Linked DNA regions of Rhinolophus ferrumequinum. The main gene of each other region encodes a partner of the protein of the gene in region 2 in a complex. Links are inferred from orthologs where the notes say so. Each region holds a gene or a part of one and is shown on either strand. Other genes may lie near its edges. The genes, in order: NTMT1, CENPA, CENPC and HJURP.

The links.
Region 1: the proteins of CENPA (region 2) and NTMT1 are in contact, whole or in part, in a crystal structure (PDB 5CVD), measured with the Homo sapiens proteins. The link is inferred for Rhinolophus ferrumequinum from reciprocal best matches to the Homo sapiens genes CENPA and NTMT1. Residues at the interface, in NP_001800.1 of Homo sapiens: Gly2, Pro3, Arg4, Arg5, Arg6, Ser7; in NP_001273725.1 of Homo sapiens: Tyr19, Trp20, Met30, Leu31, Gly32, Tyr34, Ile37, Trp136, Asn168, Ile175, Asp177, Asp180, Asp212, Glu213, Ile214, Tyr215.
Region 3: CENPA (region 2) and CENPC share a complex: the UniProt entries of both Homo sapiens proteins name them as parts of the CENPA-NAC complex. The link is inferred for Rhinolophus ferrumequinum from reciprocal best matches to the Homo sapiens genes CENPA and CENPC.
Region 4: the proteins of CENPA (region 2) and HJURP are in contact, whole or in part, in a crystal structure (PDB 3R45), measured with the Homo sapiens proteins. The link is inferred for Rhinolophus ferrumequinum from reciprocal best matches to the Homo sapiens genes CENPA and HJURP. Residues at the interface, in NP_001800.1 of Homo sapiens: Lys64, Leu65, Ser68, Arg69, Arg72, Asp83, Phe84, Asn85, Trp86, Gln87, Ala88, Gln89, Leu91, Leu92, Ala93, Glu96, Ala97, Ala100, Phe101, His104, Glu107, Asp108, Leu111, Leu112, Leu114, His115, Ile132, Glu136; in NP_060880.3 of Homo sapiens: Glu14, Asp15, Leu18, Lys21, Leu22, Ser25, Arg26, Arg28, Phe29, Arg32, Met33, Leu36, Lys39, Tyr40, Pro43, Phe44, Thr47, Pro48, Val49, Val50, Gln51, Met52, Ala53, Thr54, Leu55, Ile65, Trp66, Gly67.

What each region holds. Positions count from the first base shown.
Region 1 is NC_046295.1:78,075,021-78,083,178, forward strand, and holds the start of NTMT1 (N-terminal Xaa-Pro-Lys N-methyltransferase 1), read left to right. Parts: upstream 1-5,063; 5' UTR 5,064-5,218; exon of another isoform or gene 5,219-5,363; intron 5,364-7,656; exon of another isoform or gene 7,657-7,933; intron 7,934-7,943; exon of another isoform or gene 7,944-8,158. UniProt on the Homo sapiens protein: Distributive alpha-N-methyltransferase that methylates the N-terminus of target proteins containing the N-terminal motif [Ala/Gly/Pro/Ser]-Pro-Lys when the initiator Met is cleaved.
Region 2 is NC_046296.1:53,767,143-53,774,145, reverse strand, and holds the start of CENPA (histone H3-like centromeric protein A), read left to right. Parts: upstream 1-3,857; 5' UTR 3,858-4,081; coding exon 4,082-4,175; intron 4,176-7,003. UniProt on the Homo sapiens protein: Histone H3-like nucleosomal protein that is specifically found in centromeric nucleosomes. Replaces conventional H3 in the nucleosome core of centromeric chromatin that serves as an assembly site for the inner kinetochore.
Region 3 is NC_046288.1:26,688,663-26,695,783, reverse strand, and holds the start of CENPC (centromere protein C), read left to right. Parts: upstream 1-4,031; 5' UTR 4,032-4,257; coding exon 4,258-4,275; intron 4,276-7,121. UniProt on the Homo sapiens protein: Component of the CENPA-NAC (nucleosome-associated) complex, a complex that plays a central role in assembly of kinetochore proteins, mitotic progression and chromosome segregation.
Region 4 is NC_046291.1:5,347,226-5,355,165, forward strand, and holds the start of HJURP (Holliday junction recognition protein), read left to right. Parts: upstream 1-4,791; 5' UTR 4,792-4,867; coding exon 4,868-4,963; intron 4,964-5,263; coding exon 5,264-5,330; intron 5,331-7,653; coding exon 7,654-7,706; intron 7,707-7,940. UniProt on the Homo sapiens protein: Centromeric protein that plays a central role in the incorporation and maintenance of histone H3-like variant CENPA at centromeres.

The DNA.
Region 1 (8,158 bases), on a different chromosome or scaffold from region 2:
GGTGCTGGCCTCCGGGCCAGGCCAAGGCACTCCCCAGCTCTGCCCACAGGTCTGAAATCGCAGCTGCTCCTCAAAGGCTGCTGGAACCTGTGCTAATGCACCCTGGAGTCCTGCTCCTCTCTAGGGCCGACCAGGGAATCTCACACATGGGAACGTGGTCAAGGATTAGCTATTGAATATGGGACACTGTGAATGTGTCTGTCCCTGAGGTCGCTGACATTTGAGACCATGAGTTCCAAACTTGTATTTGTTATGTCTTGTGAGAAGGGATGTGTTGATTTGGCCTGATTGATTTAAAGTTCCTGGACTGGCAAATGTGTTTCATTTCTGGCACCTACTCTGATCCATCAGTGGTGCCTGCCTGGAGCACTGTGTCAGGAAGGGCGCTGAGGCTCAGTGGGGAAAGGTGCTGTGATCAATGAATGTCCTCTGTCATGGGGCCAGGATGAGAAGGCAGGACATGTATATCGTGTATTTACTCTCCCTGGTCTTTCAACTCGTGGGCAATGCTCTTCACCCTTCACCCCTGTTTAAGCTGGAGGAATTTTTTCTGCATTCTTTCCCTCCTCCATTAGAGTTACAGCACCGAGGCCCCCGTGAGCTCTAATGCCCAGGCTCCTCTCCTACCTTCATCCTTTATTTTTTATTGCCCCCAATATTTAACATGGAGTAAAATGTAATAAATGTTAGAGGAAGAAATGGAGGAATGAATGGTGGGATAGGTAAAAGGACTGAAGACTGGTGGGTGAGAGGGTGGACAGATGGGTGAACCGCTGGGTGAATTGAGGAAAGGTCTGAGCAGAAGGACTGGGTCTTAGGAGGATGCGTACGAGTGGGTGAATGAATAATTATGTAGATGGGTATGTGGACTTGTAGATGGCTGCACGACTAGATTAGAGATGAATAGGATCCTGGGTTTATGAGTGGATAGAAAGGTTTGTAAAGGATTGCTCTACAAATTGGATTCATGGATGGATGGATGGATGGATGGAAGTGTGGGAGCTTGTGAATGGATGGATGACTGGCTGGATGGATGGATGGTTGGATGGAGGTTCATGAATAGGTGGTAGAAGACCTGGATCACAGATAAGATGTATGAAAGGATGGATGGGTGAATGGCAGAATGAATATATGAATGGACTCATGGGTGAATTATGAACGTGTTGTAGAAGACCCAATTAATGGATACATGGATTGATGGATGTTGACGGATGATCCTTGAACGGGTTAGGAGAAAACCTGATTCATGGATAGGTCTATGTAATGATGAGTGAGTGGATGGATGGGTGGATTCATGGATGGATGATGAATGAATAAGTGGAAGAATAAGTGGATAGATAGGTGAGAGACAGAGGGAAGAAGGGAAGGAAAGAAATGCTCTTTCTCCCTACTCCCTACCCTCATCCTCCCATAACTCACTTGTTGGCCTTCTTGATCTTGGTCAATTGTGCGTGATCTTTCCTCAGCGGCCCCAGGGTAGGTATCTGATGGAGCAAAATCTCCTTAGGACTATTCTGAAAGTATGATGTCTGGCCCCTTGAAGACAAAGAGGCCACATCTGGCATGAGTGGTAAGGGTCCACCACCTTCGGAGCGTCGGTGACAACACTCCCCACCAGCAGGTCACTGACACTTACCTCAGGTCTGGGAGGAAGGAGCAGTTGGGACACTCTTTTGAGGTTGAGGTTCTGAGGATGCGGGGAGCCAGGAGGAGGTGGAAATAGTTACGAACCTTTGCTTGGGGACAGTCCTTACTAGGGTCTTCCTACTTTTATGAACTTGGGCCTCAGTTTCCTCATCCTTACAACAAAGGCAATGAGAAACCCGCCCTCAAAGGGTGGTTCTGTGCAAGGTGGTGGGCCCCACCCACCCATGACTCAGCCCCGCCCTTGCCCTGCCCCCTGGGGATCTAAACAGGGCCTCACTCGGTGGCTGTGGCTGCTGGCCGCAGTCGGCCCCCATCTGGCACAGGAACTCCTGGAATCTGCTAGAGGGGAACTTTCCTAGGTGGGCACCCAAGGAGTCCTGGGCCTCCCTGTCCGAGCCCCTCCGGGAGACCTCGCACTCTCCGGACTTGGGGGAGCTGGGACCCCAGTGTCCGGGGTATGCTGGCCCAGAGCAGGGGCGAGGGCCGTAGCGACCTTAGCCCTGTCCTGTTAGGCGCTGCCCGCTGGGGCACGATAGGCAGGGCGGAAAGGCGCCGCACGGTGCTCCAGACGCCCACCCCAGGTTTGTGGGCGACGACGACTCGCCGCTGGAGGCCTGCCATCCCTCGGCGCCGCCCCCGGAGGCCCTTGAGTCCCCCCATCTATTTGCGCCAGCGGCTGGTCGGAGCTCATGTGAAGGCAGCCTGGGCAGAAGAGGGTCTCTCCTTCCGCGATCGCCCTTGCTGGGGAACCCCTTGGGCTCCATCTGCTGGGGGCGGGGCTTGGGGCGACGCCGCCGCGTGTCTGACCCTGCGCTCAGCTCAGGGCCTTCTCACGCCAGTGGGGGCAGGGGGTGCCGTGTGAAGTGGAGAGGAGAGCATAGGCCAGCCCCCGGCCATAGTGCCCAGAGCGGGGAACCGTGGTCTGGGGGTAGTAACATCTCTGGCTCGCCAGGCACCGAGTGGCTTCAGGCTGGAGCTCTCTGAGCCTCTTGTTCCCTCCCTTGGAAAATGGTGACGGTAAGAGTACCACCTTTTTGAGTTGCTGTGACGTTCAACTGAGCGAGCACACGTAAGTGGCTTAGAATAGTGTCAGGCACGTCGTAAGTGCTCAACAGACACAAGCTGCTATTATTATGATGGTTTTTAAATTATTACTGAGGATTTAGTCTCAGCTCCACTACTTAATAGCTTTATAACCTGGGGCAAGCCAACTGATGAACTCCTCTCAGTGGCCTCATCTGCAAAATGGGGATAACAGAGGACCTGCTCCTTTGTAAGAGTGAAATACCGACCCGGTAGAGAGCACTTAGCACATCGGGGTGTCAAGTCCTGGAGGCTGTTACTGTTTTAGCGCTCGCTCTCCTGGTCCCCTGGGAATTAGGAAACCTGGAAGTTGCTCAGCATCTGTCTCCTGCTGGGACCTCGGACCCCCTTGGGTGGGGAGCTTGTTGAAAATACAGATGCCCCAGATTCTGATTTAGAAGGTCTGGGGTGGGGCCAAGACACATGTTTTTTAACAAACTCCCCCTTTATAAGAGAGAGCCCCAGACCTGCCCCCAGCTTCTGACACTGGGGTCTCGGAGCCTGCTTCCTCCCCACCACACCCCACTCCCAGATGCAGTCAGCTGTGAGCTGGCTCCTAGTGACATACTCACCCTACTGAGGCTTCAGGGCCTGGCCAGAGAAGGCCCCAGTGAGTTTAGAGGCCCCTACAGGTGGCTGGTGCTGGGGGGAGCCCATCTTCCTGGCCTGGTCCCTCTGCTGGCCCCTCCCTGCTGCCTTAAGGACCTCTTCAGACTCATTGTGACCTGCCCCTCACCCAAGGTCATGTGAGGAGCAGTGGGCACTGAGGCTGGGGACAGAGGGCGGGGCTGTTGTACAGGCTGCCAAGGCTGCAGTTACAAGGGGGTGGCGGGGGGAACACCTGACCAGGACAGCCAGGCCCAAATCAGGGATGGAAGGCCCGGGGTTCAGCTTCCCACTCCAGATCCGGGAGGCCCAGGTGAGGCACATTGAGGCTGATGTCTCTGGAAGTAGAACTTCCACTGGAAGGCTGGGCAGCATGAATGCAGTGGGCCCGGAATCTAAGAGAATCAATTTTGACTCCTTGATCTGCTTCTGTGTGCTGTGCGATGCTGGACCTTTCTCAGGGCGCCATGGTAAAATGGACTGTTGTACCCCATCTGTGACTCTTGTTTGGCAAGGGGCATGGAAGAAGCTTGTATTGTGAATTTCGAGTGGGGGACAAGGGTAACTTGGACCAGCAATTTCACCGGCATGGTATAATTTTACAATTTGAAAATGGAAAGAAAAAAGACTTTGTAATTCAAATTATAAGGCGTCTGCCTGGAGGAGGCACCACAGACTATGTGTTCCATTTCTGCAAATACTCCTCAGCCAGGAATGGAAGGTGTAGGGAAGGGACTTCCTCTTCCGTTGACAGAAAAAAAGGTAGGAGTGGATTTTTAGGCACCCCTAAAAGAGCTAAGCTCAGAGCTGCCCTCAAATAAGATTATAGACACCGAGGATTTATCCCCTTCCCTTAGAAACATGGAAAATGAAGCTTGGAAAGGGACCCAAGGCTGACCTGGAGTATTCTAGAGAGGGTGCCAAATAATATGGACATAGATTTAGGGGACTCCGCTGAAGGTGGGGCTTTTCAGCAGCCCCCACATAGTTTTCACTTCTTTAGAGCAAACACACTTTAAGCACCTCCTGTGTGCAGCGCCCAGAGGCAGACACTGTCAATAAGACTAGGATGTCAGTCTAGGAAAAATGAAGTTAGGTTGTATATTTTCGTTATAACAGCTACAAGCTCAGGGCTGAGGGCTTGCCGTGCGATATCCCACAAATTTAACCGTCAGAACGTTGCAAGGTGACTAATTATTTCATCTGTCTGGCAGAGGAGGAGAATGAGGCTTGAAGAACTTCACAAGAACTACCTGCAAACTCCAGTTTCCATCAAGGTGCTTCAGGGACGCTCAAGAATTTCTACATATGGGAGGAGCCTAAAGAAGGGCAACCTTTGTGGAATGGAAAATTTATGGACTTGTTCTGCTTAATTGGGGTGGCAAACCCTTGGCATGGCTAAGGGTATTTCTTTTTTTTCTTCTTTACTTTTTGGATCTGTTTATTAAGATACTAGTGTTATGGGCGGGATTTGAGGAATAAGGCTCCCCCTCTTTTTACCCCGTGGAAAACCCACAGAACACTCGTGTTTAAAAGTCCAGCCTTAAGCCCTCCCAATGAACTGGTACACGTGCTGGAGGCGGGAGAGGGTCGGCGCTGCGGCTCTTCTAAGTCTGGGACGTCCTTCCAGGGACAGAAATGTCAAGCTAGGTCAGGAGCCCATGGGCGGGGCGAGCCAATTGCGGGGCGGAGCCATCCGTGACCCCGCCCCTCGGCGCACCCGGAAGTTACGTGTGCGGACAAAGGCAGCGCGCGCCGCGAGGTGTCGCGTCTGGCAGTGGTCTGACGGAGGTGGTTGTGGGCTTGTGGGGTCTTCGCTGCCGCCGTCCTCCCTTCCACTTCCCCATCCTCTTCTCCCGGGTCCCGGGAGGCCCCGCCCGGGGTGAGTAGCGCGAGGCGGAGTAGGGGGCGGCGGCCGCCGGGAGAGCCGAGGCCTCGACCTCCAACTGCCTCGCCGCCCTGAGGCCCCGGCTCCTTACGTGACCCGGCGCGAACCGGCCGGGGCCCCACGTGCGCGCTCTGGGAAGGTCTGTGGGTCTGACCTGGGCCACGGGTGGGGGGTGGAGGAGGAAGGCCGGGGCCCCCAAAGCCGGGGCCGAGCGCTCCTCCCCGCCGGTCCCTGGGCCGCAGCAAGCCCCTGTCCCCCTCTCAGCCTCAGTTTCCCCTGTGAGAAACGGGGATAAGGAGAGCACCCACTCGGCGGGTGGGTGCCAGGATACAGTAAAACGCTCAGTTCAGAGACGGGCACACGGCAGGGCCCGTTGCATAGGAGTTGCGATCACATTTCACCTTGGCCCCGGCCCGTTAATGGCCTGACACAGGTGCCGCTCAAAAGACAATCCACCAAGAGCCCTTGGAGCCAAGGTCAGGCAGTTTGCGGAGAGGCCGTCATAGCGAAAGGCCCAGGCTTTGCTGCCCATCAACTGTGTGATAGCTCAGGACCTGGTTTCTCTGTGCAGTTAGGGATGGAAACAGCGGGGGTCAGAGGCCCTGCCCTTGGGGAAGGGCCGAGCTGCAGGGGCCTGGGTGTGTAGAATCCTTGCCCCGTGAGATGGAGTGAGCCCCTGGGAGGCCAGGGCCTTGACTGGTTAAGATGTCTGGGTTCCCAGCTCATTCTGTTCCCGGTTTGTGGTGTGGGTGTGTATTTTAAGGCACCCCACTCCTTCAGTGGGATGGTTCTCCTGTCTGTCAGCGGGGCTGTGGCAGGGTTGCAGGTACATGTGGAATGCTTTAGTGGAGACCAGGAGCCACAGAGTCACAAAGGCAGCATCTCCGAAATCTGCAGTCCTTCTGTGCTTACAGGATGAGGAGTCCCCACCCCGCCCCTGCAGGTCAAGAGTTGTTTGAGGCTGCAGGATGGACCTCGCAGCACAACTGTGATAATCCCTTAGGTGTGGCCAACACGCTACAATGTCTGGGGCCCTTCGGTGCATTTTTCTCATTTCATCCTCCCAATTGGCCGAAGGCGTTGACGGGAATCTCTTTTGACAGAGATGAGAAATCTCTGGTAATGTGTGCCGGGCACTGTATGGATCCCCGTCTGCTTTTCGATCCACGTTTAATCATCACAGTCTTCCCATACAGTCAGTATTGCTGCTCCCGTTTTATAAAGAAACTTACGTAACTGAGCTCAAGTGTCTTATGTGAGCTTTGGCAGCCAGCGAGCCGCAGAGCCAGGATTCAGACCTGGTTTATCTGAGCCTTTGTGTTAAAGTCCTCCCCTCCCCTTTTTCTTGGTTTGTTTGCCTTTTCTCCTTCCTTCTCTTTCTTTTTCATAGACTTCCCTCCCATGTTCATATGTCCAGCTGCAGTCACACAGATCCAAGAACAGACCCTGTGCAGCAGGCTACGAGGAGGAGGGAGGTGACTTCAGGCAGCCTCGGGCCTCCTATTGCTTCCTGGCTTTTCCTTAGAGCCTGGAAATGAGATGGATGGGATGACTCTGCCAGGCACGGCAGTGACAGTTCAAACACGGTTCTCTTCCGCGGATCCCGGGAAAAGAGAGGTAGCTGGGCCAGGCAGTCAGGTGTTCCCCTGAACACCTTGTCGGGGGAGCAGGAGGTGGCCGGATGACCGTGACCGATGCGCAGACAATCTACCCGGTCACTGGGAGCAAAGGCTTTCTCTCTTCCCCTCCCAGCTAGCCTAGCGCGCACACAAAGCCAGCCGTGCCCAGGCCCCTTCCCCAGCTCCTCGCTGTGGTCTGGGCAGAGTGTAGGAGCACGTCCTGCTGTTTGACTGACAAGCCACTGTTCTCTCTGACTCCTAGGGACCTCCGGCCTACTCCAGTCTGGACACCGGGAAGCAAAGTGTAGACAGGGCCCCAGGAGTCATGTTTACTAATGAGTCAGCTGTTAGAACAAATGTCAAAGTTACACTTGCCATTTCCCAGCCTAGATGTGCCTCCCTGGCTTATTCCTAGAATCTGCCTGTAAGTGGAATTCTTGTAAATTAGATTATGCAGGGGACCTTGACATTTAAAGGAATCATGTTATAAGGCTTTTGGTAAAAGCAAAAAAATCACATCATCGGTAATGGCCTTCAGTGTTACCAGTTTCGAACGGTCAGATTTTTGTCGGTGGGATTTTCTTAAAAGTGGGAAATGGCTGTAGCTGTACAAAGCTCATTATTGGATTCCCTCAACAACCAGTTAGCAAACACCCACCTTCATCACGTGCTGGGCTAATGATGTACCAAGTAATGACCCTCGCCCAGGAAGCTTACATCTGGGGAGGGAAGGCCAACAGCTAGGCAGAGAGAGTACGGCCAGGTAAGTTTTATTTATTTAAAATGAAAAGATTTATTCTGTTCATTTACTAGGAAGTGAACTGTTTGTTGAACACCTACATGCCATGTGTGATGGAAGAGAAAGACAGTGACACATGTCAGGGTGTCACCTCTTGGCTGCGGCCCTGTCTGCCGTTTGCAAAGGATTCCTCCATTCTTTGAGTTTCCACGGCACTTCTGGGCTCAGGGAGAGCCCTCATTGTTTCTGCCTGTGTTTCAGTCGGTTCCATTTTTGCTGCCTCTCCTCGTGGACAGGGGGCTGGACTGTCTGTTGACAAGCTCACAGCAACTAGGACAGTGCCCATGCGGGGTGAGCATTTGTTGAGGAGTGCCAGTGCCTCAGAGTAGATCCATGATGTGGCCAGGCGGGCTGAATGTGGAGCTGCTGAACGGCCCCTCTCCTCTGTCCTCCCTCCTGAGTGGCGCGGTGGGACTGAGCTCGCTGCCAGGGCCCCTGCTGTTGCTCTGTGGTCCCCCTCTGTCCATTCTGGGAACAATCTTCTGTCTGTCCGCTTTCGCTCTTGCCCCTACGGTT
Region 2 (7,003 bases):
AGTCTGGAAGAATCCACGACTGTTCCTTTGCCATGGGCTGCCCAGCCTCTGTGCTCAACTGTGCAAACTGCTTAAGAGGGTGTTCGGGAAGCACTTGGCCTTTATTTGAGTGTTGCCATGGAGGACTGTGAAAGCTTTTGGGGAGAATTATAATGGAACTTCAGTGGTGAGGGGTAGCATAGCCTGAGGAGAGGGATGCCCCATCAGGCCTGCCACCGACTCAAGCCAATTGCTTTACCTCCTGGGGCTTTGGGTCTTCGTATCTCTAAAATGGGAAAGCCTAACGGGATGAGTATGAAAATTACATAAGATAATAAATCACAGGTGCCTATAAATGTTAACACACAGTGGGGTGTATGTTTAGCTCCACTGTCCACCAGGGTGGTCTGTCAGGGGCACTGAAGTCCCAGCTGAGCACAGCATGGCATCAGCTTTGCTGAGAGGGAAAGAAATGTTTTATTAAAATACCGTCATGGAGTAAAATGCAAAATTCATATCAGTTATAGTGATAGAGGATAAAACAGAAGCCTCAAGAATATTTCATGCTGACAGTAGATACCATCCCAGACCCTGGAGATGTGTTCACTCTATCCTGTTGTGCTTTGGGGGGTGAGTTTGAGACGCTTTGCTGTGTCGTGCTGATTATGTAGATGGAGGGTAAGAACCTCTACTCTCAGTGAGTCTGGAGGGTTATAGGGAATGTCTAGCTGTGGCCTACCGTTCTCAGTGGAGTAAGGAGGCCCTAAATGGTGGAAGTTTGGCATAGAGGCGCTGAACCCCCAAATAAGAATTGACTGGTATCAGACTTCTGTAAACATTGGTTCAAATACAATGTAATTTAAACCATCTGTACCGTGGTGAACTCATCAGTCCCTGCCCCTGAGTGCTTCTGAGGGAGCCTAGGGCTGGGGTTTCCTTTAGGACTGCCTGTCTGGGCCCTGGAGTAGGCCTCAGGCTCCTCTCGTCAGGAATCTGCCTACAAAGCAGAGAGGTAGGACCGTGCCAAGTGGTTCTGCTTGCCTTCACTTTGTCCAAAGGTCTCTGCATAGTTTAACAAGCAAACAGCATTCCAGGAGGTCAGAGCTCTGACCCCTGATGAGGACAGGCTGAGGACGGGAGCAAAGGGTCACCTGGTGTAGGGGAAAGAAGCAACATTAAGAGTCAGCTGTGTCCTTAGCCCTGCCTCTGCCTTGACTGGCTGTCCTTGGACAAGTCATGTTACCTTTCATGACCTTGGCTACCTATAAAAAGGAGAGGTTCTCAGCAGCCCTAAATGTGTTCATCCCTTTGACCTGTTTATCGATCGATACCATTCTTTCCGATTTGCTTTGGTTTAGAGCCCCCTGGCCTTTTGTTGACTACATCCTTTCAAAACCTGAGGTCAGCAGGGAGCTCCCTACGTAGCCATGAAAGTTTACAAATCACCCTTCTTCATTAAGAACTCTTGTCAAAAAAAAAAAAAAAGAGAGATTTCTATCCCAGAATTCAACAAACTTTATCAAGAATGTATGTGCTCCAAGGACTGGATCCATCAAAGGAAACAGGAAAAACGAATGTGTAATGAAATTCTAGTGCAGCGTGCTGTGCAATAAGAGGCCTTTGTATGAGGTGCAGGGGAGGTGGTGCAGGGAGGGGTGCAGGGGAGATCAGCTAACTGCCTGGAACTCAGAGAAAGGCTCCACTTGAGCCGAGTGCTGAAGGATGGGCAGAAGTCTTCTAGGCTTGGTGGCGTGGGAGGGGGAAAAGAAGTATCCCAGGAAGCAGGAACAGCTTGTAAAAGGCACAGAAACGTATGTCACAAGGTGATGTACCTGAGAACTGCAGGTAAGTAGACTGGTACAGCTGGCAATAGGCATGCAACACAGGAAGTGGCCAGAGACAAGGCTACAGCAGGGTAGGCTCCCAGATAATGCCGTGCCTTTTAGGCTTTGGTGAGGCGTCAGGGCTCTCTGTAGACAGTAGGATGCCCTGGAGAGTTTTAGACAAGGAAGTAACATGATCCAAATTGCTGTTTGGGAAGATCACTTGGTTATATGGGTTTGATTAGCATTAGGAAGAACTAAAGGCCAGTAAGACCACCTTTGATTAATTAGGGTCTGAACTAGGGAAATGGTGGCGAGGATAAATACAAGAACCATCCAAGGAGGAGATTCTGACTTTTTAGAGACCTGGTTGTAGGATCTTATATTGTATAAGGACATTATGCTAAGTGAAGTAAGTCAGAGAAATGCAAGGACCATATGATCTCTCTTCTATGTGGAATCTAAAAAAAGAATCCTATTTTCTACCTTGTTTTCCACTTCACTAGAACAAAATAGGAGCTATATGTCTAAAACAGAATTAATGAGTGAAGATTTGCCTTGTCTGATTAATGGGTGTTGAGGACTGGTGTAGTTGGACTTCTTGCCTCTGTGATGATCTGGATTACTGAACACCAATCATCTTTCCGTGATTTGACTACACCTCGTTGGATTCAACCAAACATTCCTTTTCCTTCCTCCCTTTTCTCTTCTTTTTCTTTCCTTCCTTCCAGTAAAATATACACAATGTAAAACTTACCATTTTAGCCATTAAGTGTACTCAGTGGCATTAAATGTATTCACATTATTGCGCAACCATCACCATTCATCTCCAGAACTTTTTCATCTTCCCAAACTGAAACTCCATACCCTTTACCCATTATTAACTCCCCATACCCTTACCCTCAGCCACTGGCAACCACCATCCTATTTTCTGTCTCTAGGAATTTGCTCTAGGCACCTCGTATAAGTGGAATCACAATATTTGTCCTTTTGTGTCTGGTTTATTTCACTTAACATAATGCCATCAAGGTTCATCCATGTTGTAACGTGTCAGAATTTACTGTCTTTTTACGGCTGAATAATATTCCATTGTATGTATATATACCACAATTTGTGTATTCATCCATGTGGACATTTTTGGCTATTGTGAGTCACACTGCTATGAGTATTAGTGTACAAATACCTGTTCAAGTCCCAGCATTTAATTCATTTGAGCATATACCCAGAAGTGGAATTGCTGGATTATATGCTAATTCTATGACCAATTACCATACTGTTTTCTCCTGGGGTTGTACCATTTTACATTCCCACTAATAGTGAACAAGGGTTCCATGAAATCACTAATTTTGCAATGACATTTTTCCTGATTATAGTTCATAGTAACTATAGAACACTTAGAGAATGCAAGAAAGCAAACCGTAGAAAATCAAATCCCCCTTTTTCTAACTACATTTGACCTGAATACGGGTTGTCCACAACAGGAAGGGGAGGGGTCATTTCCCTTGGACGATTCTATGACAGTGCTAGAGCGTGTGACCCAAGAATAGTACTGAGGCCTGCCCTGCCTGATCGCATCTACAGACCCGGGATCCCGGCTGTCCCACGACCCTAATCAATAATGTTCATGCAGTTAAACTGGCTTTTGAGTCATATTCGTGGGGTGTTCCCGGACGGGACACAGATATGGCGTGGGGTTGTCACATTCTCTGTGGGTCTGCCTCCTCATCTTTAAAAGCTACCTCAGGATTGATAAGGCAAAGCATAAAATCTTTGAGCAAAGTGATTCGTCTAGAGAAACGCGTTCTACAAACACACCATCTACGTCTCCAGAGTCGAGCTTTCCTTTTTCCACCAGAGGACACCCGAGGACGTGGAGCTGACAGCATCCCCGACAAACACGTAGAGGGAAAATTCCCGCCTATTTTCAGTTCTCCAAGTGTCTATTGGCTGATTCCACCGTCGATCCGCCATGTCCCCGCTTCCTCCTCCTATCACCGCCTCCGTTAATCTCTCGCTTTGTGCTCTCATTGGTCCTCCCCGCAGTCGCTCTGCTCCAGAGGCAGCCACTAGGAGTCGCAGGATTCGGGTTTTAAAAAACGCCGGCAATGAATCGGCTGAGCGGGCCGTTTGAACCCAAGGGGGCGCAGGTGGCGCTGGAGCAGCCTCCCTGCTGGCACACGTGGCTAGCGCGCTCCTAAGCCTACCCCAGACGCCAGCCTTTACGCCCGAACCGTGAAGGCGGAGAAGAAACCGCGGGGCCGAGACCTTCCGCGCCCTCCATGGACCCGCCCCGCCGGCGCCGCAAGCCCGAAACTCCGAGGAGGCGCACCGGGAGCCCGGCACCCGGCCCCCGCCGGCGGGGCGCCCCCGCAGGTAACCGGCCGCGGCCCCTTTCCCTCCAAGTTGTCCCCCTGCAGCCTGTCTGTGAGCTGGGCACGGCCGGGTCTACGTGCCCATTTCACAGACAAGAAAACCGAGGCTCGTTTGCGGAGCCTGACATCGAGCCCGATCTCCCTGCGCCTGGTCCGCTGGCCTTCCAGCATCTGTTCGGAGCAGGGCCCAAGTTTCAAGCCTGGGGAGGGACTGGGGAAGGCAGTTCCAAGAAGGAGAAAGGACTGGCCCAGACAACCTGGCTCCTAATACTAATACTTCTTGATGTACTAGGATTTGTTGAGTGCTTACCCCTAACTAGGCATTTTGGTAAACTTTTTACTTGAGTTATCTTAGTTTTATATATATTGTGCCCATTTTACAGATGAAAAAACTGAGCCACAGACAGGCCAGGTAACTTGAACAAGGTCACACAGCTTGTTCTGGCAGATGCAGGATTTCTAAAATTCAGTGTTTGTGCTTTTTTAAATTGCGAAATTACTGGCTGCTTTTTGTGACGATTTCAAGCAATTCTACTTTTAGAAGATGACCTTCCAGGTTTGTTTCATTTGTTTTTCCTTCTGTGACTGGCTGTGTTGGGGCTTACCCAGTGCCCTTAACTCAAGCAGTGCTCTCCCCTTGTTCCCTTCCCAACGTGGGTGCCCAGAAAGACAACTGGTCTGTGGTCCTTAGTTTCTGTTCTGTGGTCTTTGTTCTGGTGAATGAGAGATGCACCAACTGTACGTTGCGGCAACAATTGCTTTACTTGTCTTCTGCTACCTAGCCAAGAGCAGGGTGGAAAAGTACATTATAGGTTATTTATAAATGTTGTCATTGTGAATGAGATTTTTTTTTCTTTCTAAACATAAATAACCTTTGCAGCCAACCAATTTGCTGCATACTTTTGTTAATCCTAATAATCTTTTAGTTGCTCGATTGAAATTTTAAGTAGGCTATTATATTGTCTGCAAATAAAGACTTTTAAGTCTTCTTTTTCATTTTGATACATTTTATTTTGTATTGTATTAATGAGGCCCTGGGGCTACTACTGAAATAAGAGCGGTGTTTTAGCCATCTTTGTCTCATTCGTAATCTTAACAGGAATATTGTTAAGGATGGTGTTTGCAGTTGCTTTTTGATGTAGAAGCATCCCTCCATTCCTGGTCCATCTTTTCTCTCAGATGGACACTGACACTTCCTGGCAATCCTACTGCACTTGTTCAGCAATCTTGCTTTTCCCTTCTTCCAATGACTATTCCATGATTTTTTTCTTCCTCTTCAAATTCCTGCAGCTCCAACCCTACCTCACTGTAACCTGATGATGACCTTGCCCCAGGCTTCATTGAGGAAATAGAAGCCTCTAGATTGTATTCCCTTTATCTTCTCACAACAGAGAACCTAGGTATCTACCTTCCTATCCATCTACTGGGCTAGCGGTCATATTCTTCTCTCACCTTCCCAAAGCTTTCTGTTGTCCTCTCCACCTGCACTTCGATTTAAATTCCAACTCCTTACACTGGCATTCTGTAAATGTGCTCTGCTATTTCTAATCTAAAGAAAAAGAGCAGGGGTGGCTCCTTGTTCCCACATCCCCGTCTCCCTCATACTCCCCATTTCTCTCTACTGCCCTTGCTAGCTACCCATTTTAAAATAGCCAGACTTAAAAGTAGGTTTCCCCTCTTCCCAGAAATCCTTCAACGCATTCCCATCTGACTCCCCACAACCACTACCCCTACTTCTAGTACACTCGAACTACTCTCGTCGAGGTCAACAGCTACTTTAGTGTTGCCAAATCCAGTAGACATGTCTGTTTGATTCTTGCTGTCTCTCAGAAGCATTTGACACAGTGGACCACTTTCTCCTTGAAACACTGTCCCCTTGGCTTCCACGATACAACACACTCTCTGCAGTTCCTGCTTGTCGTTTCTTACTGCCTGGGCCACCTCTCTTCATCAGCTCGATGTTGGACTTCCTTGGTATCCTTTCCCTCACTTTCCCTTCCCAGGGAGTCACATCCCTTCCCATGACTCTAATTCCACTCATACATCAACAGCTCTCACATTCGTACTTCTAGCCCAGATCTCTCCTCTGAGCCCAGATTTGTATATCAACTGCCTCTCTACCTGAGTGCTCTTGGGTATGCCAAACTAACATACCAAAAACGAACTTTTGGTTACTCCCCTCCTACCTCTTCATCCCCACTTTCTCCCATTTCAGTAAATGGCACAACCATCCACCCAGTTTTTCAAGCCAGAAACCTGGGGCACATTCTTTTCTCTCACCCCCATGTACAATCCAAATGTAAGTTCATGCAATTGTACCTCCAAATTGCATCCTTAGTCATGTCACTTGTTGCCATCTGTACTCCCACCAGCCTAGTCCAAGCCTCCAGCATCCTAACCCAGCCACTACTCCACTTCCACACTGTCTCTTATGCAACAGCTGGAATGAACTTCAAAATGTAAGTGGATCCCCTCTCTATCCTGCTTAAAGCTCTTCCATGGCTTCAAACCTTAAGATTGAATCCCAACTCCTTATGTTGGCCTTTCAAGACCCAGCTGCTGAATGTTTAATCCCAGTTCTTTCCCATGATCTCTTTCATTGGCTACTTTTCATAACCGCTTGTTCTTGGGTCGTGGGTTTCCTATCTTACCTTACCCCTCTAAGGTTATAAGGTGTATATCTCTCAAAGTGTCTATCTCTTTGCGCTATGAACTCAGATTCCTCTGGTATTGGTTATTTTGTTTGTTGAGTTTGGTTCCTTCCTTTCATGGCGTTGGCCTTAAGTTGTTTGGTGGCCTTTCGTTGTGTTCCTATGACTGCATGTCTGT
Region 3 (7,121 bases), on a different chromosome or scaffold from region 2:
CCTGGCCAACCACAGATCTCATTTCTGTTCGTGTAGTTTTATGTAGTCACATACATGGAATCACACAGCAGATAGATAGCATTTGATGTCTGGCTTCTTTCACTTAGTATAATGTTTTTGAGATTTATCTGTGTTGTTGCATGTCTCAGTTGGTTGTTTTTATTACTGAGGAGTGTTCCACTGTGTGGATGTACTGCAATTTGTTTATTCATTCACCAGTTGATGAGCATATTGCCAGTGTAGGTCCATTATGACTAAAGATACTGTAAACATTTGTATTCAATTCTTTGTGTAGATATGTGTTTTTATTTCTTTGGGAGTAAATACCAAAGTGTGGGATTGCCGGGTTGTATGTTAAATGTATGTTTAACTTTACCGTTTTGCATTCCTACCAGCAAGGTATGAGATTTCCAGTTGCTGGTCCTTCTTCCTGGCACCTTGTATAGTCAGTAGTAAAAAAAAATGCCATTCTAGTGTGTGCTGGTGTGTCATTTTAGTTTAGTTTGCATTTCCAAATGCAAATGTTGAGCATCATTTCCTGTGCTTATTTGCCATTTGAATCTCTTTGATGAAATGTCTATTCAATGTTTTTGTCCATTTTAAACATTGGATCTAACCTTTTTCCAAGTGAAAAGTTTGTTCATATTGTGGTTTTGGTTTGCATTTATCTGCTGGCTAATGATGTTAACCTTTGACATTTCAAACTTCTCTTGAATATCATCAAGCTTGTCAAGTTAACTGGCCTAACTCTGCATTTGTCTTTGGCCTTGCATTTACTTTGAGGACTTTTTGAGTAATACTGAATCGTATGAAGCCGTTCATCTTTTGCAAGATTTTCATGTTTGATTTGCAATCAATTTTACACTGTATTCTGTTTTGTTTTATATATCTGACAACCAGAGTGAGACTGACCCAAAAATGATAGTGATCCAATGGGACGATGGACTAGGACAGAAGCTCATATTAAGCTGTAGGAGTGGAGTTGAATATGGACGAATTTTTAAGGGGTCAGCTCTATTGTGAATATTTTTGTTATGACTTCTGTTTCTCTATGGGACCTTGTAAGTGAAGAGACGATAAATTTGACAATAAGTAGTGTTAAACTAGAAATCTTTAACTTCCACGACTGAAGTGTTTTTTTGTGGTTTTGTTTTGTTTTTTTAGTAAGATTTGATTGAGACAAAAATACTAGCCAAAAAATTGGTCCTGGGGCATGGAGTCTAAACCACCAGCAGTATGGCTAGGAAGAAAAGACATCATGTCTGTAGTCCCAGATTTTGCAATCATTTTCTATACATCAAGTAGGAGGAAGGGGGAAGAAAGAGGTATTCTCAAAGAATTTACATGAGCTATAGACATAGGGGTGAGGGAAGGTGAAGTAGAGCCAGCTCTGGGATAGCAGAGTCCATATAAAGAATTGTGCATAGGCTGGGGGCAGAGTTCAGGTAGCCCTGTGTAAGTAAAAAACAGAGGCTCTGGAGTTAGATGTTGCCTGGCTAAAATAATATGTAGAAATTAATTTGAAATCCCAACAGCTAAAAGGGGAATGTGAGACGTCTTTGGTTAACGGGCCTGCAGCCATTCATTAACAGACTAACAGTTCTCTCTCTTTCACTCTCCAGCCACTGTAATTTAATTTAGAACATCTCAGATTTTTTTCTTATCCGTACCCATATCATAATTATTTAGTGGAAATTAGAGGTAACTAGGGAAATGTAAAGGTCAGTTTATATATAGTATTAGAATTAAGGACTCAGTGCAGACCTTAAGCACCCATTGCAAAGTAAAACTGTGTGTGTGTGTGTGTGTGTGTGTGTGTGTGTGTGTGTGTGTGTACATTGCTGCCACCTGTTGGCATATTGCAAGCACACTATTAACTTGGCATTTACAGTCTAATAGAGCCTTTCTATCTGAGGATAATTTTGTCAAAAAAGGCTATTTAAAGTGAACGTACCTAGCAGATGGACCAATATTTGGCAGTGCAGAGTAAAAAGAGAATAATTGAAATTTTATATTAAAAAATACAACTCAAAATTATACAAATAAATTTATTTCACTTTAGCAAATTTTAAGTTATAATTGCAACTGTTATAATTTCTAGAGCAAATTGATTTTTGGAGTGTAATTTTTAAGTTTTTAAGTGTAATATTTAAGTTTAAAATATTATTTAAAGGAGTTTTTAACAATTACAATTTTTTACTACACAAAATCATAAGTAACTAAAAGTTTTTACTTTCAAGTTAAATTTCTGGATACTTTATTTCCCATATACATATTTAATACACATATTTCCATAGACAGATACATACACACATACACACACGCACACACCTTACTTAGGTAAATAGTTGTGATGGAAAACTTAAAGATTTAGTCACTTGTCATAGCAGTTGATGTATTTTGAGGGGGAAGGGTCTATAATGATAAATATGGATTTTAAAAACATTGCTCAATTATCTAGAAACTGCCCTATTTGGGGATGCCAAAACCATGGTGGGGCTATTAAATACTAGGACAGATGCAGAGGGAACTGAAAAGTTTGGGCACTGGAGTCTCCATAACTTTGTGTTTTCATAATGGTTCTCCTCCATTTTCTCTAGAGAACAGAGCAGTTCATCCCCAACACCCTTTGCGTCCTGCATTTTACACCAGCATGTCATTGCTTTTCAAGTTTCTCAAAATACCTCTGAGAATTACTGTTTCCAGTGGAAGCAGAGGGATATAATTGTACATGTGGAAACCTACAGCTATGATTGAGCTTGCTAAAATTTCCCAGGGAGAGGTAAAAAGTATAGTGATTAAATGCTCAGTTTTGGAGTCAGAATACCAGGGTTCATCCCCAGTTCTGTCATTTAATGGTAGTGTGATCTTGGGTAAGTAACTTAAACCCTGTCCCTGTTCTGTTATATATAAAATAGTAAAATAGGAATATTAATCATCTTCTCTCATAGGAATGTTCTAAGAATTAAATAAGTTACTGCATGTAGAGCATTTAGAATAGAACTTGGCAAATAGTACACACTCACTAAATGAGTTTTTATTATCTATTCTAAATGTGACAACACCAAATTATATAATGAAGTCTGATTGGCAAAATGTCTGCTAGACCAAGTTAAAAAAAAATCACCATGGTAACACCAATTGCATTATTTATTGAATTCTTACTATGTTCCAGGCATATCACCTAGATCTTAAAAGGAATTAATCCAGCATCTCAAAACTTTTAATATAATTCCCATTTACAGACAAGGGAATTGAGAAAGTTTAATTAACTTGCTCAGTATGGCAGAATTAGTGGAGTATAGTGGAACTCGGGCTTCTCTGATTTCAGAGTTAATTTGTAATCCCTCTTCCCTACCAAAAAAAATGGCCTTAGCTCAACTCTTAATGATTCAATAATTAATGTATTTTTTGATTAAAATTACCATGCGAGTTTTTATTAAATCATAGAAATAGGATACAGTTTGGTAGAATCATAAAATGTAGGAAGAAGTGTTCAGAGCATCTAATTTAGCTTTCCCATTACGTATATAATTAAGGAAATAAGCGGAACAGTGCCACAATTTGTCCTAGAGGACATAGCCAGTCACCTAAGCAGGTTTCAAGACTCCTGATCTAGTACTCCTTTCAGGGCATCATGCTTTAATGATATACATGTACGTAAGTCATACATGCATCACGAAAATATTACCCACACATTCAACAAAAAAATAACTTTTTTACTCTATAATAGAATCGTTGAAAAGTCAAAGGGGAAAAAAAACGTTCCTAAGACCGTGCTTCCCAAGTGAAAACCCAGCTTTATGGCCAGCCTCCGCGTGGGGAGGAGGGAAAATGAAGCTAAGGGAGGAAGAGAGAAAGGAGCTACCGGAGGACAGAGCGGGGCTATGGGAAGAACGTGGGGCGGGGTTACAGAAGGGCGGGACTGTGGGCGGGTACAAGGAGGGCACAGGCTTGTAACGGCTTTCTTCCTATTGGTTGGCGAGGTCTGTTTTGCGCATGTGCAGGCTGTTTCAAACTGTGGAGGCCGCCACACCCCGGTGTTTGCCTAAGTCCAAGCCAATAAATGAGGAGGATCGCGGCTGCGCTCTGGTTGGTTCCAAGTTTCTTTGCTCCTGCCGCCTCTCACTTCGTCGGCGCTCCTGGTTCGCCGCCTAACTGCCCCTCTCGTGACTCTGTCATTGCTGGGCTTCCTCAAGCCGCGGCCTGTGAGGGCTGCCACCCCAAACGCCCTGCGCAGGCGAGCCGGGCCGGAACATGGCTGCGTCAGGTCTGGTAAGTGCGGGTGCCGGCACCTTCTGGCGGGTGGGAGTCCGGCCGCCCCAGAACCCTCGCGCCCGAGGCGGGGAAGAATGAAACTTTGGGCCGGTGCTCTGACTTCTTGGGGATTTCAGTGGGAAAGCCGCGCGAAGTTTTTGAGATCAGGAGTGATTGTGTGCCGATAGCCAGAGTTTATTTACTTGTGTTGTTTTCTCAAGGTTTCTTGTAATTCCGGCCGTGATGGCATCTTTCTCTTCAGAGAATCTTGTGATTTCTACTTTGTAGCCTAACTCCAATTCCTAGTCTTCCAAATAATTTTCTGTCCATAAAAGTATTGAAATGCCTTAAAGTTTTCCTTTGCCTCAGACACGCAGTCTAGAGAAGCAGATTATTTATGGAGCATCTGTTACGGATGAAGTTTTCTGAAGGGCAGCTGTTAAAGGGTGCAAGCTGTAAACGACGGGGGAGGGAACTCATTTTTTGTTTACATGCTTCTGAACTTACTCTGTATTCACTCTTTATATTGCACACATCGCTTCTGGTTACGATATAATACATAACCCATGTCATCCCCATCCTAAACTTGTGTCTTCTACTTTATTTCCCTGTTTAAGAACGTCTTCGGCATCGATGTACTGCCCCATTTATATAAAGTTATATTTGTATGCACAAAGAGATGTATTCAAGGGTTGTATAATGTGTGCTTTCTACTGTGAGCGCATACATTGTTTATATTATATGTAATAAAGGAATGCTGGAGGAAGAGAAGGAATAAAATTTACCAAATGCCCACAGTTCTTGGGGGGGAAAAACAGCTTGGTTTTTTTAGAGCAGTTTTAGATTTCCAGCAAAATTGAGAGGAAGGTACAGAGAGATTTCCCATATACCCCCTGGTCCTCACGCATGCATTGCCACCTTCATGATCAACACCTCCACCAGAGGGAGAACATTTATTACAATTGATGAACTGACACATTGTCACATTCTAAAAGGAGTGTAGTGAGCTGTGTAGTGGTATCATGTTTTAAGTTGCATTTCCCTGATGACGTGATGTAGAGCATCTTTTTATATGCTTATTTGCCATCTGTATACCTTCTTAGGTGAGGTGTCTATTAAGGTCTTTGGCCCATTTATTTTTTAATTGGTTGTTTTCTTATTGTTGAGTTTTAAGAGTTCTTTGTATATTTTGGATAACAACCCTTATCCGATGTGTCTTTTGCAAATATTTTATCTCAGCCTGCCTTGTCTACTCATTCTCTTGACCACAGTTCATTTTTCAAATGCCTGTCATCACCTGAGATCTATTTTGAGTCTTAGTTCTAATTGACTTTGCATCATAATCCATTTAAAAGGCAAGGGGGGGAGGAGAGATTATCCTTAGTCATTCCTGTACTTTAGTACTTTAGTAGTTCTTAACTGGGAGTGGCTTTAACCCTCTACCAGACATTTGATTATGTCTGGACAAATTTCAGGTTGTCCTGAGAGGGGGTGGGTGAAGGGGTGCTAAGGGAACCTAGTGGATGGAGTCCAGGGATGCTGCTGAGCATCCCGAAATGCAGAGAATGGGCCCTCACAGCAGTCATTCAGTCCATGTTAGTAGTGCTGGGGTTTAGAAACTGCTGAATTGTATCTTTTTTCTTTGAGAAACAGAATCTCACAGTGAATGGAAGAAACTAAAATTGAAATTGACTGAATAATGAGTTGAAAGTGGCAGTTTTTGAGTGTGCATTTGTTTTGAAAACTAAAAGTTTTTGCATTCTAAGTTTTACTTTAGAATTAAGAGACCATGTCTTGTTCATCACATGTTTTCTAAATTGCACTTGGCCCTGTACTAGGTCCTCAATTAGTATTCTAATGAATAAACTATCTAATCCTTAATTTTTTCTATTTGAAAGAGGAATAGAGTACTTAACAGGTGTTACTTAATGTTCAAAAACATTGCAAATTTGATGGATATTTTTAATTTATTGTGTGAAATTAGGAGAAGAGTGGCCTCAAATTAGGCCTTAGAAGGTTGTTAACTTACATTCTCAGAGCTGTACTTCAGTTTCAGAATGCTGAGTGCTGGACAGAGACCAAAGTGCTTGAGTTAGTTTTCATCAAATAATGAACGGAGACTTGTTAGATATCTTTGTTCTTTAGTTTGTTACCTGTAAAATATATTTTATCCTTTGCTCCTTAGTTACTTCCTGAGGATAACAGGCTCTGTGAAACTCTCACCTTTAAAGAAAGACATTTTTATCTCATAAGTTTTTGGTCTTATTTATTTGGCATGTCAAAAAGATATTAAATGTGTGATATACAATGCACTAAGCAAGGCTGTGGGAAGAATATAAACTAGCTTAAGACAAAGTCTCTGCTCTCAAGTTTCTTAAAATCTGATAGAGGTCTTCATTTTCCTGAATAATGCGATCCAAGGGCCATTAGGTGGTGCCAAGTAAGGTAGGGGTCCTGATGGGTAGGAAATGGCAGTGGCCCAGAGCAGTGTGTAGGAGCACGAGTGGAGTCAGGAGAGTGTCCCAGCTCAGGATGTCAGAGCATGAACAGGGTAAAGAGTGTCCACATGGGGTGGGGTCATCTATATCCCATTGGGCCAGGTGACAGTGAGGCTTAATAAATATTTGGTATTGGTGATAATATTTTCATTTTTAAAAGCATGTACTTCATCCTATTGCTACCCAATTTGTAACTAGTTTTACTTTATAGATTTTACAACTGAAATACAGGACCCAAAGTATCTCAGATAGACTCTTGACCTCCAATATAGCTTGTCTGTGTATTTTATTTTTCCTGTGGTTCCCATTGATTAGGACTGCTTCTCTATTGGGGTTTATTGGGGTTACCTGTTTTCTCTTTCATTC
Region 4 (7,940 bases), on a different chromosome or scaffold from region 2:
CCAGTTAAACTCTAATCAAAACTAAGATGGAATGGTTATATTAATAACAGACAAATTAGACTTCAGAACAAGAATATCCGAGACAAAGAAAGACATTATAAAATGAAAAAGTGATCCATTCACTAAGAAGACATAAAAACCCTATGAGGATAACAGCAGAGTTTTATATAGGAAGCAAAAACTTGTAGCATTGAATGAAGAAATAAACAAATCCACAATTTAGTTGGAAAACTCAAAACCCTTTCCTCAGTAATTGATAGAATTCTTTTGAAAATCAATAAAGATATGAAAGGCCTGAACAACACAACCAAACAACTTGACTTCATTGACACACGACAGCAGAATACACCTTCTTTTCAAATGCACCATCACCAAGACTGACCATATTTTGGACCTTAAAAACTCCTCAACAAATATAAAAAGAGATGTAAGGAACTGGCTCACGTCATGATGGAGGCCGAGAAGTCCACGGTCAGCCCACACTGCAAGCTGGAGACCCAGGAAAGCTGGTGGTGTAGTTCCAGTCTGAGTCTGATGACCTGAGAACCAGGAGGGCTGATCGTTTAAGTCCCAGTCCAAGAGCAGGAAAAGTCCAAACTCACTCAGTCAGGCAGAGACAGCAAATTCTCCCTCCATCTTTTTGTTCTAGGAAGGCTCTCAATGCATGCAATGATGCCCACCCACCTTGGGGAGGGTAACCTGCTTTACTCAGTCTACCAATTCAAATGCTAATCTCTCTTCAAGGTAGAAGGATTAGGTATTGAAATGGGAGTTGTTTTTTTTTCTGTCAAATTCATTCAAAATTATAGAATGAAGAAAATTCATTAAAAGTTGTAAAATATATATCCCATTCAGCAACAGGAAAAAAATCTGGTATATAAGCAAGACATTTAAAATAAGAAAACAAAAAAATAAATAAAATAAGAAAACAAGTGAGAATTCCTTAAAAAAATTTTTTTTAATTCTGTACATTTTATAATAATGTTAAGAAATAATTGTGATAAATGACAGAGACACAGAAATTATTCTTATTTCTTGCAATAAGAACATTAGAAGCAATAGTGATAGGAGTTGAGTATTAAAAGGTAAAGATAGTTGAGAGAAGATGTAACACTATTACTGTAAAAGCTAATTTTAAGTAAGGACTGGATGCACCAAAACTTTTCCAAAAACACAGCAGTTGCCTTCTGTACTTTTTAAATTAACTCCAATAAGCCATGGGCGGTAAGAAGGAACTACAATGGGTTGAGGAAAGAAGAAAGGACTGGACAATCCCAGGACATTTCCAAAGTAGGTAAATTTTTTTGAAAAGTATTTTGCAAATTACCAATTAACCTGGTGCCTCCTGTTGTAAAGTTATTCACACATAATAATGGAAGAGCCGATCTTTGCTCCAGAGAAAGAGGTCCTGAGAGTTTTCAGATCCATAAATAATGGGACTGATTAAAAATAGGTCATCCAAATCTATCTAATTGCCTTCTATTTTTAATGTAAATTCTTTTCATTGATTTTTAAAATGGATAGCCCATTAAAACACATTAATCATGACCCTAAAAGTGTATCTGTAGAGCAAAAAGCCTAAGGTGAAGAATAAAAAGCAATTTCCCACCACATGAAACTGAGGCAGGAACATCACCAAAGAAAGCTGGAGCCCTACTTTTCCCAGGAAAAAAACACATTTCTGGGTAAAAGCTGGGAGGAGAGGTATCATTATGATAAAACGTTGTTCAACTGTATGACAGCGGTTTTAGAATGTCTGGAACCATGTGTGTCCTATTTAGGTAAATGGTCTCTAATTTTGTAGAGGCAAGGTAAAATACATGATCGGCTCTGCTGTGTTACATATCACATGAGAAATGCACACTCACAATCGCGGGATACAATTCATTCTAGAAAATGAAGCTAAGGAAAACTACTGGAATACTAAAACTAATCCGTCATCCAGCGATAACACCAGAAACATTTTGATAAATACATACTCGGATTGTTAAAACATACAACGCATATTTTTTAAAGGCAGATATATAATACATGTTTGTAACCTCCATTTATTCTAAGAAAAAAATCATGTTTTTGATGCCAATAAATATAATTTTTCAAAACTGTAGTTAATGGAACACAGATATGTATCACCATTTACTCAACCTTCTTTCTAGGATTGGACTTTATAAACAGTGCTTCACTAAAAATCTTACAGCTAAATCCTTGCCAACATTCTTAATTACTTAATTACTTAGGATAGATCTCAAAAAGTAGACTCAGTAAATCAAAGAATAAACATGTTTTGTGAGCTTGGACTGACACCTTTTGGAAAGTTAATTGTTTTTCAGCTATTTCACAGTCCCTTTGTTTCCATCAGCCCTAGAATGACAGAAGAAAGTGAACCCTTTTCTTGGCGGCCTAACAGATGGGGCTTAATACTTGCCACGATCTCAGACTCACGTTTTCACTGTCACATAGCGAGAAGTTTTTGTAAACGCTGGGAACGGCCCAAAGCTGTGCTTCTCCAACCACAGAGAGGTGGTGACATTTCCACACCTTGCCAACATAAAATTATGTACATGGCAATTCTATGCAGAATAAATCCTCATTTGTTATATAAAGTTGTATAAAATGCAGGCACATTTTATGAGAGCAGACATAAAATAATTCCCGCGAGAAAGATTTCCTATGTGTAATCATAATTTTAAGCAGCACTTTAAGGGGTGAAAATTCTGGCCATGCCAGCAGAGGACACTGCGCAGGCTCAGCCCGAAATGGAGATCCTGCAGCAGAGCTGACCACTTCCTCATCTCTGCTGCCCCCGGAAACCCCTTGAGACGCAGAGGGGCTACACCAGCCACTTCCACTACCAGGGAAGGAGTTCACTTGGGATCCTTCCCTGTCATATGGGGGTGAGGAGTGGTGGAAGGGGAGTTTGCATAGCAGGTCTGGGTTCCTGAGGTCACATGTTAGGCTGCTATAGGTGTCTGTGGGGGTCAGGGGAGGGTGTTTGTAGGGAATGGTGTCAAATTGGGAGCATCCTGCAGGACTCCTCCTTCCGTCGTTGGGCCATGACTTTGGCCCATGGGATGGGGAAAGCCAGTCAGAGAGGACTGGGAGGCCAGCAGGCCTAAAGAACAAGGGCCAGTGCACGTTGGTTTAGAGGGGATTGCCAAAGAGAGTATGTTTTTGGACCCTCATGCCTTCTCCTGAACCAGCATGATTCCTTAGGATAGAGGCAGGTCCTTGGACACTCAGTGAAGCCCTGGATCCTGAGAGTGGCTTTCTAGGTGTAGGAGAGCCAATTTTGAAAAGTATCACTATCTCGCTTGTTAGTCATGAAAGAGAAAGTTTTCCAAGAATTAAAAGAGACGATAAGGAAAACCCTATCCAAGATGTCAAGTCTCTAAATGTGACAGTCACGTGTTTGAAAAACAACCTGAGTGTGCCAACAGAGTGAAAGGAAAAGCAGGTAAAGTTCCTGAACACTCCCTAGAGGGAAGGAGGGGAAAAGCTCAGCTGACTCATGAAAATTGGACAGCTACAAACGGAATGTGTACCATCAGGTCCTCGTTACAGGCTGGGTTCTCCAGGTGGCAGAATGTGACAGAGTTAGTGTGCAGGATGTTAACTAGGGAGTGCCCTTCGGTTCGGCGGCTGGGAAAGAATGGAGACTGGACAGGTTGCCTCGGCAGATTCCAGGCGGAATCTGAAATAACCCTGTCTTCATATTCCCACCTGGATCAGCCGCTGGATTTGGGGCTGCACGACCGGGGGTGAGGGGTCCTCTGCACCTGAGAAGGTGCCTGCCGACAGCCACCAGCAGCTGCGGTGTCTTGAAGGCGGCTCTGGGTGGCCCATCTCTGAGTCCATTACAATACATTTTCTGGACACTCCACTACGTGAGCCCCGGAGTTCTTCTCACCTCCCTTACCCCCAATTTCTGCTGGATGGCATGAGAGGATTGGGGCGCAAGCTGAGCGAAGATGAAGAGCCCCAGCTAGGGACCTAATGGTGCTCAGTTATGCTCTTCTTATGTCACGTACTATATGGTAATTGTATCAGCATCAACACATGAATATGACTAAGTTATGAAGCTGAATAAAACTTCTCTAAAATGTACTTCGTAAACTCGACCAACCACACTCGAGGAAAGACTGCATTCTCTTTCTATACTTTAGAGAAAACATTACAACATTAATATCAACGAAGAGTCTGAGTGCGCAATAAAAATATATATACGAAAAAGGTGTACCAAGAGAATAAAAAATTATATTTTCCTGGATGCTCAAACGTTTACGATATTTCTTTCTAAACGTATGTTCCCTTTCCTGCCTCCTTTTGTATTTGTAATTTGGGGGGTCTCTTTCTTGTGCCCCTCCCCCTCCCCCCCTACCTCCCCCCCCTCCCCCCCTACCTCCCCCCCCCTCCCCCCGGCTGCTCTCGTGACAGCGCGAGGGCCCAAGGCGGGCGGGGTGGCGGAGCCGGCTCCGGGGAGGGCGCGGGGCGACGTTTGGGTGAGGGGCCGCCCCCCACTCGGCGGCGAGTCCCGGCGCAGGTCACCCGGGCATCTCCTGTGCACAACCCGGGAAATGATACGGACTTCACAGGACTCTCGCCATTAACCGGCAACCGACGGGACTACCGCGCCACTCCCGTGCGCATGTGCGGCGGCGCACCCCGCCCACTACTTCGGAGCCGAGCGGCTGCGGGAACTCCGGCGCCTATGTTTGAAAGGCCCAATCAGCGCCCAGCCTCTCAGCGCCAGCCAATGGAAAGCCCGAGGGGCGGCCAGGAAGAGCGGAGTCCCTATTTGAACTGGGGCGCGGGGCGAAGCTCCCAGTCCCGTTTCCTGCGGGAGTCGGGGTTTGGGTCTCCGCGCGCCATGAAAGACGAGGTGCTAGGGGAGGATGCACTGCTGCAGAAGCTCAGGGACAGCCGCCGCCGCTTCCAGCGTCACATGCAGCAGTTGCTAGAAAAGGTGCGGCCCCCACCGGCCCGCTGGGAGGGGCGCGAGGCCGGCGGGGAAGGGGAAGACGGCGTCGGGGACTGGGGAAAGGAGAAGAGCGGCGGGGAGGGAAGGTGGAGACAGGGTGGGGAGGCCTGGAACGGGGAAGGTGGGTTTAGGGCCTGGAGATGAGGAGAGAGGAGGCAGGATTTAGAGTGGGGGGGGGCAGGGGAAGGAGTGGGGAGGTTCCCAGACTTCCAGCCTCGTGCTGTCGCGGGTCAGTGGCTACTTGCGACCCTCGGACCTGATAGGGCGCCCCTTTCTCTCCTGCAGTACAACAAACCCTTCGAGGATGCCCCGCTGGTGCAAATGTCCACGCTTACCTACAAGACATCCACGGGTAGGAGTCATTTCCCCTTTCTGAATATTTACAGTTAAGAGTGTGAACAGAATAGTGTCTTCCTAGAGCTTGAAATGCTGTCCCTGCTCTCTTTGGAAAATAATACCTGTTCGCCTAATAGGAACTAAAACATTACGAGTTCCCTTGAACCAATAAGTTAAATTACTTCTTCCAAACAGAATTACTTATCAAAACAGAATCCTGAAGACAGATGCGTAGTGGTTAAAAATGCCCCTGCCTGGGTTGGCATCCCAGCAGGCCATAAAATAGCCGTGTCAGCTTGGACCTGTTGTTTTAGCCAGGCTATGTGTCAGTTTCTTTATCTGTAAAATGGGAGGATGATGACAAAAATATCTACTTGGTGCAAATGTGACAGTTATATATGTGAGTGCTTGTGAAGTTCTTGGAACAGTGCCCTGCGCTAGAACACTCGTATTGACTGTTATTTGTTTGACTTGGAATACTAACTGTCCTTGAGATTCTGTGTACTTGGAACTTGGCTTGAATCTAGGGAGAAAGAGCCTTTCTGTTTAATGGTTGGTGTTGCGAAATAACTTGAATCTCATGGAATCTCTTTAGTAAATAGCTGGAGAACGTTTGCACGGGGTGAAAGTTTGTCACGTCCTCCCGTTCAGCCTTATTACCAGCTCATTACTACTAATGAAAGCAAATCTCAGATTCAGTTTTGCCAAGTGTTGGACAGACAGGTACAAAGAGGTTTCATAAGACTTACTCCTTAAATGAAGACCTAGCCGTCTTCCTTCTCAGCAGACCCAGCCATACCTTGGTAGAAAAGTTTCCGCAGGCAGGACCTAAGGGATTCCAGCTGCAGGTTTCTGTTGCTCTCGCATCTACAGCAGGCGGTGACAACTCCAACCCTAGGGCAGGACCCAGGGCTCTGCAGGAATCGTGCTGACGGACTTCACTGAGCACGGGCCGTGTCTGGAATATCTTGGCCAGTTCACATGTCTTCAGTGCCACTGATTTCACCAGTGAAGACTCATTGCAGACTCCCGTTTTGATGAGAACAGTAGTTGAAGTATCTGAACACCTCGAGAGCAATTACACTTAACATGTAGAAGACCATGTGGAGAGCTTGTTAAAACACAGATTCCCGGGGCTCCTGACTGCGATGCTGGATTCAGTAGGTCTTCAGTCTAACAGGCCCCTAGCTGGTGACAGCAGAGGTCCCCTGACCTGTTGCTTAGCCTGGAGAGGCACTCGAGGAGGGAGTGGCCTGTCTGGCTAAATGCTAGCTGACCACCCTTGCAGCGGGAATGCCCACTTAGGGAGTAGACTGGAACTGACACTTCCACACAGTATGGTGAAGTCAGCACGAAAGTAACAGTGGTTCACGTGTGTTGACAGCTAAGCATGTGCTTCTAAGGGTCTCCTGTTTTTGATTCTCAACACTGTGAGGTAGGTACTGTCCTTAGAATCATCCTCATTTCCTAGCGGGTGATACAGCAGGGAGAAGTTAAGGAGCTTATCCCACGTCACTCAGCCAAAGTGACCAAACCTGGGTTTAACACCAAGAGCATTTGCTCAAGCATCACCCTGTTCTGGAAAGGCTGCATGACACAGTGGTCAGGAACACGTCACTGTCCCCAGTTCACAGCCTGGCTCCACCACGCAGGCAAGTGTCCTGGGCTAGTTACTTGACCTTCTTGCTGTGCCTCCATCTGTACAGTGAACTTGGTGAGTGCCTATCCCGGAGGGAGTTAGGAAGTCCTGTTTGAGTGACATGTGAGGGACTTTGTGTGAAGATGACATGAGGTGCACTTGGAAAGAGTTTAGAATAGAGCCTGGGACGTTGAAAGCACCGTGGAAGTTTTGCTGCCATTATCATCATTCACAACCATCTCAAGCCTTGAACCGCAACGACCTCTTCTGATTATCTGGAATCGATCTGGGAGCAAATGAAGGTTTAGGAAGAGATGAAGTGTCTGGCCCAGGCTCTGTGACTAGGAAGCGCCACGCCTCCAACGCTCAGTGTTGGTCTCTGTACTTGGGGCGTGCTCTACACGTGTGGAGACTGTCCTATTTTCATTTAGCTTTGTGGCTTCATGATGATGTTGGACCAGCAGCTGCCCCCTGGGTAGGAGAGATTTTCATTACTGACAGGTTTTTGTCTAATCTTGATTTTTTTTTTTTTTAAGACTTCAACCTCACAAAGATGAAAAACAACCAAAGATCAGAAATACAGCTTGGTTTTAATATTATAACTTTCTTTTGCCTGTCACTTTAGTTTTCTATGAATGCAGATTAAATAGACTTGGGGTTCAGGATTACTTACGTGCTAATTTTTATTCCATTTCTTCAGGATGGAGAGTTTGGGGTGGAAAAGTACTAAAGAAAAACAAAGGACAAGCCCAGGTATTTATTGTCACATTTTATTGCCACCATTCCTTGCCATGGAGGACTACTGACGGGATAAAGGTGTGGGTGAGCTGAACAGCACCAGGGGCTTCTGGAGGCCACCACAGGGCAGTTCTTCCATGGTTTTCTCACCTTAGTGACCCATTTGCCTGTTTGAAGAATGTGCTGAGAAGCGTTTCTTCTATTGCTTGTCGAGTGCAAGGAGGAGCTGTGTGACTGAAGCCCTTTCTG